3 linked regions of the Neodiprion lecontei genome follow. The protein of the gene in region 1 purifies or fractionates together with the protein of each later gene. This does not show direct contact. Links are inferred from orthologs where the notes say so. Each region holds a gene or a part of one and is shown in the gene's direction. Other genes may lie near its edges.

Region 1 (3,758 bases):
GTTTTTACTCACCCAATTCGATATAATTTAATTCAAAACTTTTTTTTACATGTCTTCAGCTCCACTTTGATGATCAATGGATGGCAAATGGATTCCCTAACGGTTGAATTAGTATTATACAAATTTTTGAATAATCCGTATGGAATTCAGCCCACCATAGGATGAAGGATAATGGACGGAAACTTCTTAGAATTGAGGACTTCTTTTGAACATAAAGAAAAATGACGCTTAAATACAAGTTTTTCGTCATATTATTTAATGATCTTTTACACCATATAATTGTAAATAATAATATACTTTCGAAAAAATGATTTGTTCTTCATTTAATGTGTCAAACATTATTTTACTCGTCAAAAACTTTTTTGTGTGACGAATATATCGTTAGATCTAAATAGCATATATTACGCAGTTCAAATCTAGCGCGCATTTTGTGACAACTTTCTGTACAAGATGGCGGAAATTCAATTGTTCAATTGGACGCACGAGCTTACACGTAGAGTATACGGTAACATCCAATCCAGTGTATATATATATTAGGTCTAAATCTAGCGGACACTTTTCGAAGGCCTTCATATTGGTTCAGAATCTAGTAACTTTTGTTTGTTCCGTGATCCGTCGTGATGGGTGCTGAAAAGTAACTAGATTTCGTACACAACGAATACACAACGAGCCTTAAGGGTAATATTTCATGAGCAGTAAAAAGCAGCAGTGGTTTAGTAACTTACTAGTTTTCACTAGCATTAGTCTGGTAATTTTACGCAGCACCAGCGCTGCTCATGAAATAGGTCGTAGCTTCTTGTGATCTTGTGGCTTGTCGCTCGAAAAACTGAACTGCGAGCAGCAGAAATTTGCGCCGGAAGTGATAGGGGAAAACTGCTAGTGCTGCTGCTTCTTACTGCTCATGAAATAGCACCCTAAGGCTGGATTCATATACGCGCCGTGGTACGGGTGCGGTTGAGAGGTAACGAATCACAATGTTTGAAATATACTGTTCACTGGATTTTATGCATGTTTATTGGTTCCCGCACAACCGCGACGTTGCAGCTATGCGAACCCACCCCAATTTTGACTATGCACGCCGGATACTGAACAGTCAGCCAGCAGCGCCACTTGCTAGCGTTAAAATGTGATGGCAAGCTGCTGGTGTGATTATGTTAATGCAAATCTTGATGGTTTCGTGTGCCGATAATTTTTAAAAATTCGTAGAATATTATAAAAATGGCAGGTTTCACTGAAAGTGCGTTGGTGAAAAAATTACTGGATTTAAACCCGTCCCAGCAGAGCATTCAGACCTTGTCGTTATGGTTAATTCATCACAGAAAACATCATCCAACGATCGTCAAAGTTTGGTACAAAGAGATGTGCAAGGGTAACTATTATTTTCTGTCACGTACAGCCAAACCATTCATCCATCCTTTTGTTCAATATATCTGAAAACAAGGAACCGCTACCAATGCTGATGAAAATTTACGTTGAAGACAATTAACGCAACATCCTAGGAATGTCTTTAACTTTTCAGCAATTTTGAGGTTATCTCCAAGTGATGTAGATATATTCGTTCAAACGAAATGAGATAAAAGTGTATATAAATTTAATCATGGTGGTTGTATTGAACGATCTTGATAAGCTGTGCTTAAAAAGGAGATGAAACTGGTTTTGAGTTCGTGGATAAAAATTCTGCTACTGTATAGTTTCTGTTACCACATGAATTGTGAGGCTATTACCAAGATAGTTTCTACAGAGTTTATGTTTGCAGAAAAAAATCCCACATTACCTGATTGTGAAGAATTAGTTTCTACAGAAAGTAAAGCCTAATTTGTTGCAGCCTTAGAAGTGATAGAGTCATCTTCCTCATGTTTATCAAGGGATTGTGTATCGTGATTTTAGATATGCTTATTTCGACCTTTAAAGTGTTGCAAATCATTGAAATGCAGTTTCTGGACGAATAATTCTTGAATGTAGAAAAAGACCTTATAGAAAAAAAACTCTTGGGAGCGAACACTGCAGAGACAGTCCTTTCCAAATGGATCTGGCAAAAATTCACTTGTGAGCAACGGAGCCAAATGCTATCATCTGCATTCTCATGAATAATATTTTTTTTTTCAGTTGTATTAGTTTATCACACACATGGAATAGTCATAGACATTATATCCTAAATGTATCTATGCTTGATATCTGTATACATCGAGCTGTGGAAAATGAATGTGCATTAAATATTGCTCATGAATTATTCATATCTTCAATATTGATTTTGAAATTATTTGACAAAAATGTTTCATCGCACATAAGATCTATGCTATGTCTATTTGTGCTACAGAGTGAGTCTACACGGGTTGCTCTAAATTTTTATTTGCAAATTTTTTATCTGGTAAGAGTGGTCAAGTCTGAATCACGAACATATCAATCCAAAACTTTTGTTCCCCAACAACGGAGCTACGTTTCATATATATTTTATAACTGTGAAGAAAGTAGACACCGATGCATAGTTTCGATTTCATGTTTCTTACGATATTTTCAAATAGCATCAAAATACAATAATTTACGCAAACCCGAGCAATGGTATAACTGAGGCTGATCTTATTGTAACCTTATTGTCATTCAAAAATTAACGACGGACATCCGTTCGGAGTGTTTGAAGTAACATGTGTTATTTGATGGTGCGAATAGCTATAGCTTGAAATATATAGATAAAAATACACCAGCTGACCAAACTGCAATAATTTCGAATCAGCTTAGCTAATGTCTGAGATGCATTAATTAAACTCACAGTAGTCCAGGGGACTCTTGCCTTTATTTATGTACTGTAGTTGTTTATTACTTGTTAACAATACGGAAAGAATGTTTGAAATACTATAATAGTTATTAGTTAAAAGTTGATAAAATAAGTTAAAGTTAAGTTATTCTCAACTAGTATTCTCAAGATTTTGCATTTCTCCGATTCCTGTTGAAAAATAATTTTTCTTCATCGCTTAATTTCATATTATTATTAAGATCATTTCTTATGCTGTCCATAGAGTCCGTGTGTAGTAGTTTGAAAATTGAAACAATTTTCTTGAAAAACATGCAGCGAATTCTTGAACACTTCGAAGAAAACCAGCATTACACATATCAAATAGATACCCTGTCTGTTTTTCATGTGTTTGTGCTTATTCAAGTCCTGAATTTGGATTTAATAGTTGACTTCATTATTTATACCAGTTTTAGTCTTTGAGCTAATTTCTTGAATGAAAATTCTAAAACAAGGTTCAATTTCCATGTAATCTGCAAGTGTATCTGTGCAAAAATTTCATTCTACTTGCTGCTACTGCAACTTTCTGTGATTATGGTCATTCAATTGTGCCTGGGTTAATGACTGGTCTATTTATCTTACCTACATTTTTAAATTACAATTGCATGTAACTAAAAATTATGCACAATCTTTGTACGAATCGGAAAGAATTAAGTAATAACCTTGTTTGCAGCCAAAAACAACCGTAAGCTGATATTCATGTATCTCGCGAATGATGTGATACAAAATAGTAAAAAGAAAGGGCCAGAATTTGGCAAAGAATTTGGAAATATTCTGCCGAAGGCTTTCGAGCACATGAAAAGATTTGACGACAAGACAAGGGAGAGATTAGGTAGGCTACTGCAAATATGGGAGGAAAGAGGTGTCTACGACAAAGTGCAAATAACGGAGTTCAAAGCAGCTTTTGACTTAGCCGTTGAACCTGTTAAAGAACCATCAACGCCACCACCTAAAAAAAAAATTAAAATTG
Region 2 (3,659 bases), on another chromosome or scaffold:
CAACATTTTACAGCTATTCGTGTTTTTGATCTTGGTTTAGTTGTAGATTGTTTTGCGTATTCACCAGGTTCTCCATTTTAGTGATTACCTCGTACCTCATAAGAAAAAAAAACCGTGCGCGAACTTCCAAAGTTAATTGCCGTTTACATATAAGATAAAAACGATCACCCTTCATATATAATTAAAACGACCATCATTCATCTATAATTAAAGCAGTCATCTTTCATCGATAATAAAATCACGGAACCCTGATGTCAGTTAAGAAATTATTTTTATATTTCAGCTGCATCTTTTTTTGAAATGAAAGTATGAGCGTTGACTGAAGATACATATTATTATCTTCAGTTAACGGTCCGAGTTAAGTATTAAACATATTTACAAAAATTACATAAGGTACATATAGGAACAATTATATATCTCTATTCTTTGATTAACTTCTTCGACTGTTTCCCATTCCTTGCATCAAGAAACGGTTTCCAACTCTGTCAACAGTAAACCAAGTGCATGTTTATTGTGCATCTATATACATAGCATTATTTTTGTCGATGCGATGGATTTAAATTGATATTGCTGAATTTGGCCTAAATGAATTTGCGTAGTTGAAAAGTAGGTATACGGCGTCCACACGGAGTTGTATGAAAATTTCAGTCTGTTCCCGTTCGTCATTCCATAGGCATAATTATATTCGACTATTCGATGAGCGATGGTAACATCAGCTACGCTGTTGAGTTGCGCGTACAAGGTAGGATGCAGGTGGCGCCGCTTGAACATGAGTTTATTTCTTCCATTTTCGATTAGGAAAAGTCTCATAAGGCTATCAGTCTTTATATATCTTCAATCATGGGTTTTCCGTGAAATATTACGTTCCACAATTTCAAACGTGCGCTATTTTTTGGGCATGCGCAGCAATTTTCCCGCGCCTGACTGCCGCGTTACTCCAACGGTCACTCGCATAGTCACATTTCGCGGCGTAATTCTGTACGAACATAACCCCAATGTGACAGATTCTGTCAGACTTAGTTTCTGAAAAGTAGGGTATCGATTTCAAGAGATTCTGTAAATACAAAAAAAAAGTAATAAGTTGGATAGCTGAAGACCGTTAACGGAGGTAAAAAACAACATGTTTTATCACGTAAGTTAACCTCCTCTTATCTTATTCGCATTGAAATGTGTTTAGTTCGAGTTGATTTGACTCAAAATTGCCATCATATTACAGATATCGTTGGAGCATGAGATCTTGTTGCATCCGAGATACTTTGGACCTCAGCTACTTGATACGGTTAAACAGAAACTGTACACTGAAGTCGAGGGAACGTGCACTGGAAAGTATGTGATAATTAATAACTGATTGAATTGCTTTTGAAAATAGGTATTGAAGTCAGGTATAGCGATTGAAATTATGCAAATCTTATTTCTCATCGCAAAACATTACGAACAGAGTGGAACTGCCTTTATTCTTATACTTTAAATGTTATAAATGACAACATTTTCCATTACGTCAAGCATTTCACTTACAAAACATTATTCACCTCGAATTTCTATAGGTATGGATTTGTCGTCGCAGTGACAACGATAGACAATATTGGAGCTGGTATTATTCAGCCAGGACAAGGTTTCGTTGTATATCCCGTAAAATATAAGGCTATTGTTTTTCGACCTTTCAAAGGAGAGGTTCTGGACGCAGTCGTAACGCAAGTCAATAAGGTATAACAAGTTGTTATGTTGATATGTGAGTTTTGATCATAATCGTACAAACATTACTCTGTGTATGTCTTACGGTTGTAGGTTGGCATGTTCGCTGAAATAGGACCATTGTCTTGTTTCATATCTCATCACGTGAGTATTTTTTTTGTTTCCCATTTATCATTTGATGTAAACCTAAATTTTTCGTTTTCTTTTATTTCAGTCCATTCCAGCCGACATGCAATTTTGTCCAAATGTCAATCCACCTTGTTATAAGTCAAAGGAAGAGGTGAGAAATTTATTATGAAATTCGATATTGGATTGTGATGTTCTGTGGAAATAATATTTTTGCTTATACAAATTTTAGCTAGTTTTAGAAAATTATGAACATCGCTTTTGATAAACGATAAAATAATATTTAGCCTTGATTCTGAAATATATATTTTTGAATTCGTGTTATTATCTATCTTCTATTAAAATTTGTCATTGAGAACAAGCCATTGTTGTCAAAGAATATGAAATACCTTTTATTGATTATAAAACAATTAGCTAAATATTGCAATGGCTTTGGTACGTTACGTTATACAAAAAGATGAATTTATCGTGGTACAATCATAATGATAGTAAAATTCATGTCAAAAAATAACTGAACTAACATGTACACGATGTTAGTGCTTCATAGAAACATTTCCCAAAGTTATTTCTTATCGAACATCGAAGGTTGTTTCGAAGGTTTCTTCTGAAACAATCTAAGGATAATCAATTTGTTATTCTTTCAATTACAGGATGTAGTAATTCAAGCAGATGACGAAATAAGATTAAAAATTGTCGGTACCAGAGTTGATGCGACAGGGATTGTAAGTACACAGATTTACAAAGAATTTTTTTAACGAACTTATTTCATTAATTTTCCTGTGAATCATTTTCAGTTTGCCATTGGTACCTTAATGGATGATTTCCTTGGTAAGATTCTGTTTAGATTATTCTGTATACATTTTTTTTTCATTTTCGAACTTACATATCTTTACTGTTAATTGAATGTTAGATTTTAACATTTAGTTTTGAATGCATGGATTCTAGGCTTGGTGATGTAATGGGAACTAATTACTGTACTTCGAAAATGTAACATATTATCCGATCCATGGACTGACATAATTTATGGCACGGAAGGAAGTGGCGACCAATGTAAAGTGTGACAATTGATCCTGGGATGTTTGTACATTCATCTAAATGACTAGTTTGTGACAAGTTCAGATGATTAATCAATGGCCCAAATCGGTTATAAGATAATAAAAGATACTTAAGTTAGGAATTACGTTTGAATTCTATGTGTAAATAAATTTTTATCTTGGGATACGTTTCTTCATTCATATGTGCAGGACTTGAAATTGTTTCACGGATTAGGTATATAGGATTGAGTGGAGTAATATAAACCAAAGGCACGGTGTACAAGTATGTATACATAATAGTTTTATTTTTTCACGGGCTATAGATGACGCTTAGCGGTGGCTTCGTTTTTAATTTACAAGCAAGTAAACTCTCTTACATTCAACGTCATCTCGTGGTTTAATTTGTCAATGACTACATTCAATCATCTGACCATCACAGTTTCTTAATAAATTATGTAATCTACGTAATGAAAATCTAACAACAAACTGCATTTGTATGTGATACAAATCAATCGTCGATAATTGTTGAGAACATCACTCACTCGAAAATTTGAATCTCAGACTGATTAGTTACACTTTTGTATGTTCCAAGTATTTGGTGTACCGGTGACTAAACTAAAACTTACCTATTCACTAGAGCTTTACTTTGTCAAATCTATCTAGAAGCAGAAGTTAATGTCTTTACTATTGAAACACCCAATTTGTCATCACATAACGCCAGTTGCTCTTTTAATTGAAAATCGTTCGGAATTGTGTCAGGTTATCATTGTTTTACATTTGGTAAATGACGCTACTAGCCACATGAAT
Region 3 (3,758 bases), on another chromosome or scaffold:
CAGCGAAGTCCATGAATGTACGTTTATATCTGATTTTAGATTGTCCAGATTGATCAGACATCCATCCTCTGCGTCAACCTCATGCCCGTTTTTATCCAAATTAGATTCGCTATCGGATCCAATACCAGACTCTTCTTCAATTAGATCAGATTGCTTTATACCACGTTTATCGTCGAATTTTTGCTTCTTCTTCTTCGGCTTCACTTTCTCTCCTTTCACAGCTGCTCTAAGTTTTTTCTTTTGAGCTGAATGCTCGTCTTCCTCGTCATTGTCAATCTGGTCATCGAGTTTCTGAGCCTTTTTCTTCTTGTTACCCTTGTTTGTTAAATATGATTCAATTTTCTTGTTATTAATATTAAAGAAAATTGGCAGAGCTATTGGTTATTCTCTGTAATGTTACTGACTACACGTCATAAATCAATCAACTAAAACTATGCTGTAAGCAGATTTTCCTTTCATGCACTGCGAAAGTTCGTTAATATTGTCCAGATACTGTAAGTTTTACAAATTTCTCAATCCCTTCAATATCCTTAATATGTATCATCTGTTATCGGTAGTGATTTAACTCTCGAAAGAAGAAGTGCTGCTCTATCGTACCAGAGTTATCTTGATATTTATTTCGTGTGCTTGTACATAATATTGAGACCATTGTTCGGTGAAAGGTATAGTATTAGAGATATTTAAAATTATTTCAATATGCAGGAAACCATTTACCTTGTCTAATTTGTCATCGGAGCGAGTTGCTTTTCGTTTTTTGGTTCCTTTTTCGAGACTGTAATCCGTCAATTCTTCAATTCCGATCAGGCCGTCAATACCTTCAGCAAAAAAGGCACCCTCCAATTTTAACGGTTTCCACGTCTTAGATTTATCCTTTTTGATTTTCCCCATTGCTTGTTTGTTTCGACTAAACATAACCTCGATTTGCGAGGAAAGAAACGCGCATATCACGACGAACACGTGCGAGCATTGAATTCGAAGCGAGTCAGATGACAGGGAAGTATAACTATATTATATAACCTAACTACCTAACTATAAAATTGAACCAAGCGGTGAAAATATGCACTAGAGTTAGTAAGTTATGCTGTACATAACGCAGTATCGGGTGATTTTGTTTTTGTAATTTTAATTAATGTATAAAATGAAATTTTGTCTACAAGAAATTTGTGAATTTGCTTGCACAAAGCCAAGCAATAAAAACTTCATTGGAGGTGAGGGTTTTAAATGCTGGACACGTGATAAAATGTGGACAAGTACCAATCAGTGGTTGCAATGTTATAAGTGTTTTAGCTTTTTGTTTACAAACATTAATTATTCATTATATTAAAAATAATCCCTATGAAATAACTGGTCAAATAATAAACGACGGTCGAATAATTGGAATGAGTTCTTCTTATAAGGCAGGTCATTCGTAAACACGTCGCAGTATTACTCCATTGCAACCGGTAAGATATTTTGTCACATTCATAACCTATAACAGTTATTTTATTTTTCCAACAATTAATTTATTAAAATCGATTTTTATTTTTACAGCAATGATTTGAAGAGCTTGCCAATGATTACTTGCACTCATAAAAAATGTGTATGGATTGGCTTCATGAATCTTCATTAGAAAAATAGAAGGCAAGCCATTACATGAACATGAGTGTCTTTTATCGGCGAAAAAAAAAATTTCCATGCTTAAAATATAAGGGAACAAAAGAAATTTAAGCTGGAGATGTTAACAACACTGAATCGATGGATTTTAATGAAAATTTACAGCTGTCTGAAAAGCAAGAAGTACAATTTTTTGCTCTAGCTTTACACGTGTAAATTTTACGCTGACATTTTATTTTTACATTTTTATCATCAATTTTTGACCTGATTTTTTTACACATATATCACTATTACAAATTCCTATTATTTGCATTACATATTTTTTCAAAGCCTGATTGCATGTTTTACAAATAATCATGTTTTATGAAAGAGTATTAAACTGCTACATAAATTGATTTTTAAAAACATTACGCTTTTTTGTCAAATCTAATTATGAAATTATTATTAATAAATTATTTCACAATTTCAATGATGTTGTGTTTTTATTTTATAATATTCTTTTCTCTCTTTCTGTTTTATTTACAGAATTACAAGACATGAGTATATCCAAGTTTCAAGCAATAACAATAGTGCTATCATTTGTTCAGGAAGAATTCTAGCTGTTTTTAGTAATCAAAAGTCCTCAGTCTTTCTCGATAAACTAGAAAAAATTGATGTTAATCCTCTTCAGAACTGCTGTAAGAAAATAGTCGAACAATATTAAATGGAGTTGCTCAACTACTGAATTTTATTCTGTTGGGAGAAAGAAAGACAATTTAGAATTACAGGAAGTGATCCAAGCTATAGATTATTTACTTATAGTAAAAATAAGAACTCGATTGGTAGTACAAATCATTAAAGTATTTTTATCCAACTGTGATAAGTAATACTTATACTAGACATGGTTTAAAATGAACCCACAGCATGTGAGCTTTATGAAAATTCCACACAGTTCAAAGTTGTTGAATGCAGTCTTATTATTGCACACAATAATCCTTAGCTCGGTTGCTCACCTGATGCTATTGTATTCGATGATTTTAAATCTATAAAAATAATTGAAATAAAATGTCCTCTCCTTTTTTTTTTATCAAGACTCAATTCTTCAGTACCTTCAGCTGTCAGTACCTTGTTTATAAGTGATCTCCTACGTATTCTTTCTTCTCTAGAATTTACATGACGAGTATATTTTGTAGTTGATCCTGGAGGAATATTTTGAGAAGGAACACTTATTTTCTTAAGTTAAGAATGAGTCGAACCAACAGCTATTACATGATGGTAAAAATTGTCTTTGTTAAAATGGAGTGAAAAGATCTTATACTGGTCATTACACTTTTTCCAATTCTCAACACTGGTCCAAGCTACGCGACTATCGCTTTTGTATTTATCACCAAAGTTGTTGATTCTATCGACGAAATCTTTATTGGGATGTGGAAGATGGAAAAACTTGATTTTTTCATCACCATAAGCTTTACATTGACAATCAAACACACAGCAATACACGTTACTTTTATTTTTTCGCGCAGGGAATTCCATAATCAAAACAATGACTTGGATCGACTATTCACTTTTTAAATCTTAATTATTAATCGAAAAACTAAAAAATAATATTAACATTTCCACATAAACAAATACATAGTCAGCTGTTAGCAATTCGAGCTACGCGCTCACGGTCAGATGTTGAATTTGGTCACTAGATAGCGTATCCGAAGACCACCTAGAATAAGATACCTATATCTAGAGTTGAACAACAGTTTCCCAATTGACACGCTTGTCGAATTCGAAGAAAATAACAGGTAGAGACTTAATAGATAATTTCCTAAAAATACATAAAAGCACTGATATATTATACATTTCAGTGAGGACTCTTAGCTTTCCAGGCCTGAGTTACACAATTTTTGATTGAGGACGTACCGGTATCTTTCGAGTCTCGTCAATATTTACAATAACTCCTTTTGTACGTATTAGGTTTGATTAATAACGTGTTATTTGTCGGTGTAAAACGTCGAGATACAAGTAGCCAATAATAATGCGTTGGATTGTAAGAACCTCTTGACAAATTAATCGTAAAAAATTCAACGCAAAAAAATCCTAACCTCTGATTCTTTTATTATGTCCAACCTCCAAAGCTCGAAATTGGACTAGCATTTTCCTACAATTTAAGCTTGTCTAGGTAGCTTTAAATTTCT

Evidence for each region.
Region 2: the proteins of regulation of nuclear pre-mRNA domain-containing protein 1B (region 1) and DNA-directed RNA polymerase II subunit RPB7 purify together in Homo sapiens (affinity purification with mass spectrometry; 3 studies listed by BioGRID and IntAct, counting the BioPlex papers as one, with this or other methods). This does not show direct contact. The link is inferred for Neodiprion lecontei from reciprocal best matches to the Homo sapiens genes RPRD1B and POLR2G.
Region 3: the proteins of regulation of nuclear pre-mRNA domain-containing protein 1B (region 1) and GPN-loop GTPase 1 purify together in Homo sapiens (affinity purification with mass spectrometry; 3 studies listed by BioGRID and IntAct, counting the BioPlex papers as one, with this or other methods). This does not show direct contact. The link is inferred for Neodiprion lecontei from reciprocal best matches to the Homo sapiens genes RPRD1B and GPN1.

What each region holds. Positions count from the first base shown.
Region 1 is NC_060260.1:20,829,054-20,832,811, reverse strand, and holds the start of regulation of nuclear pre-mRNA domain-containing protein 1B, read left to right. Parts: upstream 1-1,106; 5' UTR 1,107-1,218; coding exon 1,219-1,369; intron 1,370-3,461; coding exon 3,462-3,758. UniProt on the Homo sapiens protein: Interacts with phosphorylated C-terminal heptapeptide repeat domain (CTD) of the largest RNA polymerase II subunit POLR2A, and participates in dephosphorylation of the CTD by RPAP2. Transcriptional regulator which enhances expression of CCND1.
Region 2 is NC_060263.1:8,226,933-8,230,591, reverse strand, and holds DNA-directed RNA polymerase II subunit RPB7, read left to right. Parts: upstream 1-849; 5' UTR 850-1,120; coding exon 1,121-1,132; intron 1,133-1,216; coding exon 1,217-1,326; intron 1,327-1,544; coding exon 1,545-1,704; intron 1,705-1,785; coding exon 1,786-1,836; intron 1,837-1,906; coding exon 1,907-1,972; intron 1,973-2,468; coding exon 2,469-2,540; intron 2,541-2,612; coding exon 2,613-2,646; intron 2,647-2,763; coding exon 2,764-2,777; 3' UTR 2,778-3,037; downstream 3,038-3,659. UniProt on the Homo sapiens protein: Core component of RNA polymerase II (Pol II), a DNA-dependent RNA polymerase which synthesizes mRNA precursors and many functional non-coding RNAs using the four ribonucleoside triphosphates as substrates.
Region 3 is NC_060262.1:18,441,634-18,445,391, forward strand, and holds the start of GPN-loop GTPase 1, read left to right. Parts: upstream 1-1,071; 5' UTR 1,072-1,129; coding exon 1,130-1,208; exon of another isoform or gene 1,209-1,442; intron 1,443-1,530; exon of another isoform or gene 1,531-1,620; intron 1,621-3,265; exon of another isoform or gene 3,266-3,365; intron 3,366-3,428; exon of another isoform or gene 3,429-3,526; intron 3,527-3,626; exon of another isoform or gene 3,627-3,742; intron 3,743-3,758. Other genes in the region: ATP-dependent RNA helicase DDX24, read right to left, coding at 1-315, 715-912. UniProt on the Homo sapiens protein: Small GTPase required for proper nuclear import of RNA polymerase II (RNAPII). May act at an RNAP assembly step prior to nuclear import.